Linked DNA regions of Oreochromis niloticus. The protein of the gene in region 1 purifies or fractionates together with the protein of each later gene. This does not show direct contact. Links are inferred from orthologs where the notes say so. Each region holds a gene or a part of one and is shown in the gene's direction. Other genes may lie near its edges.

Region 1 (3,753 bases):
CTGATAAAAGCCAGGCTGGATCCACTATCTTATCTTGTTTAATCCAAATGTACAAACATGTTCTCAGCTGACAAGGAGTGCCATCAGGTGTAGTCTACTGCTGAGTCTCATCTACCTCAAAGTTCATTGTGTGTTCAATACATTACAAAGAACAACATACCGAGGTGTGGCGTTCATACCAGAGTATGCGCTTCTTCATACCTTGCGTGTACCTTCTTAGCAGCTTGAAACAATCTGTGTAGAGAACTGGCATTCATTGAATAGTTTTTCTTCTTTTTTGTTTATTTATTTATTAAATACCAGTATTGCAGGAAAATCCTAGTAGATTAGCAGTTTATGATCAGATTTGCCCATCTTGCACCAGCAGCCGTGTTTAAATCACCCTTCTTCCCCATTCTGATGCTCAGTTTGAGGTCGTTTTTACCATTTCTGCCATTTTCCTAAGTGCATTGACTTGCTGCCCTGTGACTGGCGGATTAGATAGGAGATACATTTAAATTAAACAGCGTAGCTGACAGCTGAAATGCAACCAAATCAGAAAACGGACTACAAATGTAGCTTGTTGGCTTATAAACATAGCTCTCCTAAGCCATTTTGAGCGAAAAAAACCCCCCATTCTGATCAGAACGTAGAAGCTGCATTTTTAAATGCAAGATGACTCTTATATAAGTAATCCAGGTTAAAAAAAATAATTAACATCAAAAATTTCTTTTTCCAAGATATCTGGGCAAACACAGATATTGCTGGAAAACCACCAGGCCACAACCCTTTCCTGACGTCACCTGATTAGGTGGTTTTCACTTCCTGACAGGGAGGTCACAAAAGACTTCACCGGAGTCTCCTTTCCGAGGTGTTCACACTCTACACTGACTGGAGAAAACAGAGGAGCTGTGTTGAAAGGTAAACATTTAAAATGTTATTATATTCGATATGTCACTGTGTGACCTAGCTAGCGTTGCGTAAAAAGGCTAAGCTAATGTAGCTACCAAGCACTCTGAAGCTAGCATTCGCGATTCCGCTTACGAGCCTAGCAGTACAGATCAAAAGCACAGGTCAGAGTCCAAGATTGTCGTCTTGGGTGTTTACATTTTACATATAAAAGCACCTTTAGGTAACTGTATTGACTAATTTCTAACTGAACGAAAACACGGTGTGGGTTTAGCGAGGTCTTTGCTGTCATCAGCGCTGTTGCTCTCGGCGTTTCCCAGAAACAGTACGGCGTCTGTGTCGCTTTCAACTGAAGCAAAGCTGTGAGGCCTTTGTGGAATTTGCTGGGGGGTCAAATCGTCGCCAATCTGATCATTAATACATACTAAAAGCAACACGTGGAACTGCTAATGGGGAAAACTCCCCTGTCGCTTACTTTCGGTTAGATGTCGTGCGCAGTCAAAAAGTGAGTATTTTAATGCGTGGGACGATGCAGTCTTGGCTCAAGTTAAAAAAAAATAAATAAATAAAGGGATGACGCTGGCGATTGATTTACTTGAAATAATGCAGACACGTAAAGACAGTTCAAAGATCGCATCCCATCAATACAGCAACGGATCAGCTGATAAACAGCTGTTTAAGCAACTGACCCAGCACGCAGTCACCGATTAAACGGTTGTTTAATCGGCGACTGTGTGCTGTCGTTGGATGATAAGTCCATTTTGCGTCAAGCTGTGACACTGAATGACGCTGAGGAATGTGAAGATTCTGAAATCATAGTTTCACGCAGAAAAGCATTGAGTTATGTTACAGCAATGCGAAGGCGTTAACAAGTCAAACCCTTAACATAAGAGGCAGTAAGGCGTGCTTCTCATGATGTGTTGCTACATGATTTACTTGTTGGTAATGCACAAGGTGAGCTCCTAAATTAAATTACCACACCTCTCTACTGCTTCAGCAGTAATACTGATGTGTTATTTTGTGGCTTGTGCTTTAAACTGCTGCATATCATCCTTAGGTTGCTCTCTTTCCTCATATTCTGCATTGCAAGGATGTCAAACTCATTTTTCTTCTAAGGCCACATACAAGCTAACTTTAGACCTCAAACCCAGTGAAACTGCCCTTACTCTCAGCCTTAAGAAGTTTAACTGCAAAATCTCATCCTTGAGGTATCAAAGAAGGGTGATTTCAACAGTACTTCTCAAATTTTCTTCAGGCCATAGAAACACTGCTGCAGTAGATTTAAAAAACAAAAAACAAAATCTGTCAGCACAGCTCTCCAGGGTTAAATTGTAAGGGATAAATGCATAAACTTTCAGAAGTTCTGGCAGCTCATTTCTCAGACTGTACTGTAATTGTAAAGGAGAAAGTTTCTGTTAATTCACAGAAAATGCTTGCCTCCTCTCTTTAAAAAACAAAACAAAACTCTGGAGACCTTTTGAAAAGAAAAAACAGACATTATTATTATTATTATTATTATTATTATTATTATTATTATTATTGTAGACAGAAAAAACAGGAACTATTCTGTCATTTAATTGTTTATCTATTACTTAATTACTTTGGTGTATTATGAATGGGGAGGTCTCTGTCAATAGGAAAAGCAGTAAAACTACAGTCAAAAGCCCAAAATATATTCCTTCTTTCACATTTTCCAAAGCTGTCCGGCGAGCTGAATTGGAGCCTTTGCCAGGCTGTTTCTGGCCCCTGGGCCTTTTGTTTGAGGTCTCTGCTGCATTGTATCTTCAAGCGGTATAACCTTTTACGTGGTTTAATATGCACTGTGTTTGTAGACAAACCTGCCTCTCCAGTGCCCATCCCTCACATGGAACATTCAGTTCCTGCATGTGATAACAGGCTGGCATTCTCTTAAAGGTACAGAGACCCTGCAGATGTGCAGATTGGCTCTCTGGCGCCAGACATGGAAATGCGGGAATTTAACCACTGAAGTGTCTGTTTACAAACAAACAAGCAAATGAGGACACTGTACCGTTTAAACAAAAACCAAAAACCAACAAACATATTCTGTTTCTTTCTATTTGCAGATCATCTGTCCATCAAGTTAACAAATCCCTACAGCTTCCTGTTTCAATCATGTGTGATGTAAGTGAAGATGGCGTTTGGGAGACGGACAATGCGCCTGATTTTTCCTCGTTGAAAAGACGCATAGACTCATTCCGTGGCTCCAACCTTGCTAACAAGGTGCCTGCGGAAACACTGGCACAGGCTGGTTTCTTCTACACCGGCGAGTCTGACCGTGTCCGCTGTTTCAGCTGTAATATGACTGTGGATAATTGGTACAGAGGAGACAGACCTGTAGACAAGCACATGCAGGTAATCAAACTTGTAACATGAAAAAGTCGAAGTGGTTAATATTTCACTTTTTTTTGTCTGTTTGGTTTTCTTCCACATTGATCCAATTCTACTTTTCTCATTCTCACAGTTTTCTCCATCATGCATGTTTCTTACCTGCGTCCACCGTACCAGTTTTAACCAGAATTCCAATACTGCAGTAATCAGTGAAGAAGTAGGAGACATGGAATATCGTTTGAGAACAGGAGAAGTGGTTGATGAGGCCACCTACCCTATATTTCCTCACATGAGAAATGAAGAAGCCCGACTTCGGACCTTCTCTTCTTGGCCCAACAGTGCTCCGGTGAGACCCAGAGATCTGGCCCAAGCCGGTTTCTTTTACGTGGGGCAGGGTGACAAGGTTCAGTGTTTCTGCTGTGGTGGTCGGCTGAATGGGTGGGAACCAGGAGATACTGCCTGGAGTGAGCACAGCAAGCATTATCCCAACTGCTACTTTATCCTTGGGCATGACGT
Region 2 (3,753 bases), on another chromosome or scaffold:
CCATACTAAAAACTGCTAAATTTATATATATATTTTTCTAACTTTTGGAAAGAGCATTTCTCAAGCAGCACTGATGCTAATTACAAACGTTCAATCAAATGGCACCGTTGCCAGTAAAAACAGAAACATGAACAGCTTATCCTGTCATTGTAGTATTGTAGTATTATTGTCCCCAGTGCCCTCCAACCCTCCCACCCATCCCCTGCACCTCTGTGTGAGTTCGGTCTCTTGTTAAGCCTCCTGGAGCTGGTTCCGGAACCTAATCACCTCCTCACTGGAGGCCCGCTGCTCTTCTTCTCTCTCTTACATCAGTGTTGCCAGCTGCCACAGCAGAGGAGCTGCATGGGGAAAAACTGAGAGAAGAACATCTGGTTCAAACAAGAGTCAAATTCCAGCTCTTCTTTCTTTTGGATAACAACCATCGTTGTAACAAATCGCTAAATTCCACCTTGTCTCATTTAACAGGATTACCTGTATTACCTGTGTGAGAATGATGCAGTTTTCTCTCCGTGTGCAAGTGGAAAATGGTGAGATTTAGGATGTGCAACAGACTAAGAGTGTCACACACCACACTCACTAAAGAGTGCAATTCTTGCCACAACATGATCTCCTCTCAGAACGCCCAGCACTTCCTCTGGGGCACTTACAGGTGCTGAGTGGGATTGATCCTCTTTAGGAATCCCTGGGTTTGGTCCCTAGATATGACCAGTTGGGATGTGTCTGTAACAAGAGCTGCAGACTCTTCCTCAGCCAACAACAGGTCCTGTTGTTGTTGTCACATCCTGTATGGATGTGCTCACTTTAGAACTATCTATCACATTTTAACAAAGAGTAAACCGATAAGTGAAATTTAGGAGAGAGTATGACTTGTTAAGTATTGTTATACCTCTTTCCACAGTCAACCAGAAGAATACAGTAACATCAGATATAATCATGTATTCATATATTCATCACATATTATTGTATATATATACATGTGTTATTTTTCACTACATGTTTTAAGGTGGTAAATGTTAAAATATTAATAAAAATGTAAATAAAAACACGTCCCTAAATAAGTAAGGAGTAATTTCGTAACAAAGCGGTCAAATTCAATAAATTGAATATGTACAAACTGAAACTGCCACTGAAAACATATTTAGAACTCGCGCTCGCCCCTCTGTGGCAGGTGTCCGCAATAGCAACCTGTAAACAACCGCTAGATGTTTTCACTTTCTTTTTTGGGGAAGCAATACCCAAGTTGTGAGAGCAGTCAGACATTTCAGATTAATCTTCCACACTCGGATCATTTTTATGGAAGACAAGGAGGCAACACGCACCTGCGGCCAGTGGTGAGTTAGTGTCATGTGACAGCTTTGTCTGAAGTGGAACTTTCATTTAAAAGTTGTACTTTTAAATGATTGTTTACAATTAATTTGATAACCGGAAAGTGAATGTGAATAAACCACCACGTAAGGTGAAGAGATTGGAGTCAAAAAACTGAACAGAGTGAGTGTCAGAATGGCAATTATGTCACAAAGAAAGAGACACATTGTCCTGATCTGCTCATATATAAAAGTCTTTGTTAGAAGTTTGCAAACCAAGTATGGTTTCGGTGACTGAAAAGTGATATGGAACGGTAAAATGCTTTAAAACTGTTTTCTAAAGAGGGCTCAGTCTCAGAAAGCTAGAGTCAGTCCACCCTTTCACTGTGTATTAAGCCCATACTGCGCTCTGCTTCAGTTAAGCTGCTGCTTAATGGAAACTGCGTGAGTACGTCGCACAGTCTGACAGTTTATGTGAATCACAGGCAGTCTTAGTTTCGTTTTCAGGAAGGCTCTCTCTAATAAAGATATGACCTACTGTTACTGCTTCACTGGATAAGGTGTGTCTCATCTCTAACTGATTGTAAGCAATAATAAATCAGCATATTTTTCTCCTCTCGACCACTGAACACTTCCCTGTGCTTCTACTGTGTTAACATGTAGCAGGACAGTCCAAAAAAGAGAGTCCAGCTGTATTACAGGCAGGGCATACCTGTCACCTCCTATAGTCGCATTCAGTAGGACAGCTGAGCACAGAAATGTGGTTCTCGGGTACATACTTTATATCTGTGTTTGTTTGTTTTTGAATCTAACTTCCCTCGCTACAAAATGACATACGTCTTTCCTTCTTTTGTGGTTTAAGCCACAAAGAGGTTGCTGAAGCCAACTTCGCTCTACATGAGACGCACTGCAGCCGATTCCTATGTGTCTGTCCGGACTGCAATGAATCAGTTCCCAGGGATCAGCTGAAGGAGCACAGAGAGGAACAGCATGCAGAGGTACAAACACGGTGAAGCCGTTTATTCACACACATCCACTTCATGGAGATCAGCATCGGTCCAGAGGCCACATACAGAGTGCTGTCATTTCCTGCGCGTTGGTACACCCTTTTTTACCTTTTGTGCATCAGCATGTGTCTGTGTAGTGAGCAGTTTGCATATTTGCCGAACAAGTGACTGCTCGCTAGTTCAGTCCTAGGGGGAGATATAAATGCTTTTGGGGGTCATGTCAGGAAGATCATCAGGTGTAAAAAAAAATGTGCCACATCAAACACTCCCTGGATCTCCCTGCTGTGGTGACCCCTGGTGAATAAAAGGAAGCAGCTGAGAGTAGTTTTGTGTATCAGGGATGGATCCCTCAATTATTGGGCAAAATGTAGGTAACAACTCAACATGAAGGCAGTGAGATTTATGAGCTATTCCAGTGTTTACTTTGTTTTAAAAAGAGTTGGTGTTCTTACAAAGTGAAAAAGTAAAACACGTACACGACGCACAGACACAGCACCATGCATTCTATGTAAATCTGCAACTTTGCTTGTTATCAGGTGAGCTGCTCCAAGTGCAACAAGAAGATGGAACGTTGTCAGCTGATGGATCATGAGGTGAATCCAACACCACTACTTAGGTAGACATTCAGACACATTAGAACAACATAGTGACAAATCTGCAGCTGTGGTCAGAAGGTTACATTCACTCATCATCATGGGCATGGATGTCAAGGTGATTTGGGGCTTTTAATCATTTATTAAATCTATTTTGGATTTTCTCAAAGCCACTCAAGATTACACATATACAGGCTCAAATATTTACATGCACCCCACTAATATTTGATTAAATGTGCCTTAACAAGTAGCACTTTGCACTCAGTTTACTTTACTTTGAGTAAGTTGAGCTGAAGGTTGCACAATGTCCTTTTGACAAGCTTAAGCTCTAGCTTGCCATGAACTGGAAAGTGCTGGAACACCACCATCACTGTCAATGGTGAAGAGAGTTCAGTACATCGCCATGGACTGAGATGGTTCTGACCAAAACAGAATCCACACCTTCATGCTCAAGTTAAACTTGCAGCTGCCCACATGGGCGAGCCCTAGTTATCCTAGTTATCAGTCTAACTGTGCTTTTCACTGTCTCACAGGCTGATGAGTGTGTGGAGCGTCTGCAGGCATGCCAGTTTTGTGACCTGGAGGTGCCATCGAAGGAGCTGGACGGACACAGCTTGGTGTGTGGGAGCCGCACTGAGCTCTGCAGAGACTGCGGCTGTTACGTCAGACTGAGAGACCAACCCAGTCATGGCTTGACCTGCTCAGTCACTGAGAAGTCATCAAGTCCCCTACAAGCGACCAGCAGGGCACTCAAAGAGAGTAAGAGAATAATAGATTCAGCAAAAATCTCAGTAAACCTCAGTGCAATTTTATCTCTTGCTATTATCTCCTGCATGCTAACGCTTGGCG
Region 3 (3,753 bases), on another chromosome or scaffold:
AGAGTAGATTTCTCAAGAATCCCAGACCCCCTCTTCAGCCTGTGAAAGTTTGTGGGGTGGACATAGAGATGGTAACAAAATATAAATATCTAGATTATACCTAGATAACAATCTAAACTGGTCCCCAAATACCAACCTATACAAAAAGGGGCAAAGTTACCTCTTTTTGTTAAGAAAACTAAAATCTCTTGATCACAAGTAAAATGTTAAAGATCTTTCAGTCTATGATGGCAATTGTGCTGTTCTATGCTGCAGTCTGCTGGGGAGGCAGCATGAGTAACAAGGATGCAAGGAGACTGGACAAACTAGTGAGAAAAGCTGCCCTGGATCACAGCAGGTAAATGTAAGAAAATAAGATGTATTTAATCTTATATTCTGCCAGCCCTAAAAATAAAAGATTGTGCAGATGTTGGGTCAATATTCTGCTTAGATAAACAGAATTTTTTGCTTTCATGCAAGATCGATGACATGTGCAAGCCACATTTTTAATGAAAACGTATTTAGATTCTTCTTCTTTTTTTTTTTTTAGATTGATTGCTGGTACCTTACACTAAATACAAATACAAAATATATGTTATCTTGGAAGTAAATTTAAGTTCTAATCTGTAAAATGGCATAAAAGTATTTTTACTGCTTCAACATTTTTATTTACAATATTAAGTATCGGAAAATATAACTGAAATAATCCTTTAAATATCCATTTTCAAACAAACTAAACAACCAAACAACTGTCTTTGTCCTGAGACCTAGTTTAGGACTTATTGTTCTAGAAACATCTTTACAACAAAGAAATATTCCACACAAACACAAATTTCTTACTTTTTCTTTGTGTGTTATATCCGAACTAACTGTGTCAGTAATTCACGAAAAAAAATAGCTTCATTTTCTGAAGCTAATGTATTACGCTTCCCTACCTTTTTTGGTTTTCAGGGGACAGAATTACAATACGCACACGCTTCCTGGTGGAGCTACCCCCCTCCCCTGCGAAGAATCAAAATACATTCCTAGCAAGCCAGCTACACAAGTTGTCAAAAAGTTATGCTTGTTTGTCAAGTGGATAGACAAAAGAGTTTTTATAAAAATGGACGTTATTCCAGTTTTATTCTTACATGAATAGTAGAAAATCTCCCCATGTCCACATAACCGGCAGTGGTGACAAGTCATCTACGAAGAGTTGGATTGTTGAAGCTAAGAAAGTCCTGGTAGCTAGCAACCGGGCCAGCCAGCTAACGTAAGCTGCTATTTTAACAGGCCTCGAATTGCTTGTCTTTTTTAAGGTTGTGTTGTGACAATGTCAGACTCTGGTGAGGAATGGTGTGGTCTTATTCTGTCGTCCCAGATCTTTAATTATGCAAAAAGCTAACTTTAAACACTTCTTTTCACCAGTAGTTTTTCGTAGCAGTTGCAGAACTGAGCTAGTTATGCTATGCGGTTAGCCTTGACTGCATCAAGGAAACTGACAGGAGGCTAACGCCGATCCGTTTTTCGGTGCTTGACAGCTGGCGAAGGAATGACAATTTGCCATTTTTGAAGGCTTTAACGTGTTTGTTTTATTGAGTAGCCATGTCTCCTGACGGCATCAGTCTTAATTACGCAGTTACGGTAAAGAAATACGACTGCGTAATTGCAATTGATGTCTTGAAACCTATCTAAGTATCCCTGTGCTGATTTATTTAATATTTATTAATATTGAGCTTTTTACCTGTGTGTTGTTTGCTCGTTTTCATAGTAAGTTACTAGCTGACCTAAGCTAGTAATGTCTCTATCGTTACCACCAGCGGATATGCTTGAAACACCACCTGGGTATCCCTTTGAAGAAATCAATTATGAGGATATTGAAGTTGAGGAGGTAATTTGTGATTATTTTTGCTGTTTTCCTTGTCACTAGCGCATGACAAGAGTTAGTATCAGCTCGATGAAGCTCTTACCTAGTGAGTGTAACTTTGATGCTAACTACCTGTTCTCAGGTGGTGGGGAGAGGAGCTTTTGGGGTCGTCTGCAAAGCCAAGTGGAAAGGAAAAGATGTTGCAATCAAGACTATTGAGAGTGAATCAGAGAGGAAAGCCTTTATTGTTGAGGTATTTTTTCGTTACTGAAATATTCTCAAGATTATTTCAACAGCCTACCTGTGTGTAACCTTTCCTTTTCATCTCCAGCTCCGACAACTTTCACGTGTGAATCACCCCAACATTGTGAAGCTGTATGGCTCTTGCAATAATCCAGTAAGTTCACTGGGATCACAATGACTATTTGGTCTATTTGGTTGATTTTGAGTTTTTGATGGTGTTCTTTCCACCTCAGGTTTGCCTTGTGATGGAATATGCAGAAGGTGGATCATTATATAATGGTGAGTCAATATGTTTACTAGAAAACAGTATGGTTGTGTTACATGTTATACCATTTATTTTGCTTTGCTAGTAATGAACACGGCTTTGGACAGACACAGCCCTGTTGAGTTGATCCTCCAGTTGTTTGCATGTTCAGCCACTTTTCTGATTCGTTAGAAGTCCGTGTTTGCACAGCGACATGCAGCCCCTACACTAAATATTCAGATAGACCTGAGAACTGGTGGGGTATAAAATTGATCAGTATAAAAATCATTTGTGTGCATACAGTTAAGACAGTTAAATTAACATTTTCAGTAAGAATGAAAATTGAGTATTTAAACCTTCTGCAAATAAATCGCATACATATATTTCTTACAGCCTCATTTTCAAATAAGTTAAAAGACTTTGTCAAATGTAAATATCAAACTGTATATTTAGTTCAAAAGTTACAAAGACATATCACATACATATATATATGCGCCTCCCGGAGTATCGGGAACCAGCTGATAGGCACTCTTGTTGCCATGCAGATGATAAAACACATAATGGAGTGCATTAATCTGCAGGAGCTTCTGTCTTGCCGACCATTATTATCCCATGTATGTCTAGGCTTGTTGTTTCTTATGTTTACCCTGAGTGCTTTTATAAGCAATTTGTTATCATGTAGCAGCAGAGTCTGGAATTATTGGATGTCCGATAGGGGCAGGTTTATTTGAATTTTTACGCCTAATAATGGCCTCTCTTTCTTCCCTTTCTTGCGAAATCTCTTTTCCCCTAACTTTCATACAGTGAAAAACCATGAAAAGCAAATTCAACACTTCAGAAATGAAATATCGTGAAATAAGAGGGGAGCAGCCCTCACCTGGCCAGGAAACTACTCATCAGTTAGTTGTCTCGAAAATTTTGAACCTCTGAAAAAGGGGGACGAATTTAAATCTCGGTGACCTCAAGTGAATGGTCAAGTTTTTGAAAATGTTGTGAATGTGATAACTCAAGAGTGAAGCCATTTTTTTGTTTAAAAAAAATTGAATTAAAAATGTTTCCACTTCAGGCTCGACTGTTTGATTTATAATTCATTGTGGGTAGCGTTCAGAGACAAAACTTCAAAAACTTGTGTCTTAAACATTATGGAGGGCACTGTTAGTACTAATTTGTATCATGTTCATAAAATATTCTGCGCTCAGTTGTACTTACAATTTGCCAGAATTGTTATGGGGGCAAATTTCGCTGAATTGCTAGGTCACACTTCAGTGAGTTGGGAGTTTTCCCCTCGTGGCCATCAGGTTTGCTTGGATGAGGTTTTGGGACAAAGTAGTTTGCTGTTCTTAGTGGTTTGCTTATAAAACTGTTTCATAAACTACATTTTTGGACATAGTTTTGTGGGACATTGCAAAGATAACAAACGCTGAGAACTATTGAAAAGTCC

The links.
Region 2: the proteins of xiap (region 1) and xaf1 purify together in Homo sapiens (affinity purification with western blotting; 5 studies listed by BioGRID). This does not show direct contact. The link is inferred for Oreochromis niloticus from reciprocal best matches to the Homo sapiens genes XIAP and XAF1.
Region 3: the proteins of xiap (region 1) and map3k7 purify together in Homo sapiens (affinity purification with western blotting; 3 studies listed by BioGRID). This does not show direct contact. The link is inferred for Oreochromis niloticus from reciprocal best matches to the Homo sapiens genes XIAP and MAP3K7.

What each region holds. Positions count from the first base shown.
Region 1 is NC_031966.2:30,959,744-30,963,496, forward strand, and holds the start of xiap (E3 ubiquitin-protein ligase XIAP), read left to right. Parts: upstream 1-743; 5' UTR 744-900; intron 901-2,972; 5' UTR 2,973-3,021; coding exon 3,022-3,261; intron 3,262-3,370; coding exon 3,371-3,753.
Region 2 is NC_031979.2:5,882,776-5,886,528, reverse strand, and holds the start of xaf1 (XIAP-associated factor 1), read left to right. Parts: upstream 1-1,174; 5' UTR 1,175-1,293; coding exon 1,294-1,331; intron 1,332-2,166; coding exon 2,167-2,302; intron 2,303-2,847; coding exon 2,848-2,904; intron 2,905-3,437; coding exon 3,438-3,663; intron 3,664-3,753. UniProt on the Homo sapiens protein: Seems to function as a negative regulator of members of the IAP (inhibitor of apoptosis protein) family. Inhibits anti-caspase activity of BIRC4. Induces cleavage and inactivation of BIRC4 independent of caspase activation.
Region 3 is NC_031980.2:29,212,408-29,216,160, reverse strand, and holds the start of map3k7 (mitogen-activated protein kinase kinase kinase 7), read left to right. Parts: upstream 1-969; 5' UTR 970-1,231; intron 1,232-1,298; exon of another isoform or gene 1,299-1,602; intron 1,603-1,729; 5' UTR 1,730-1,756; coding exon 1,757-1,849; intron 1,850-1,967; coding exon 1,968-2,078; intron 2,079-2,156; coding exon 2,157-2,222; intron 2,223-2,301; coding exon 2,302-2,347; intron 2,348-3,753. UniProt on the Homo sapiens protein: Serine/threonine kinase which acts as an essential component of the MAP kinase signal transduction pathway. Plays an important role in the cascades of cellular responses evoked by changes in the environment.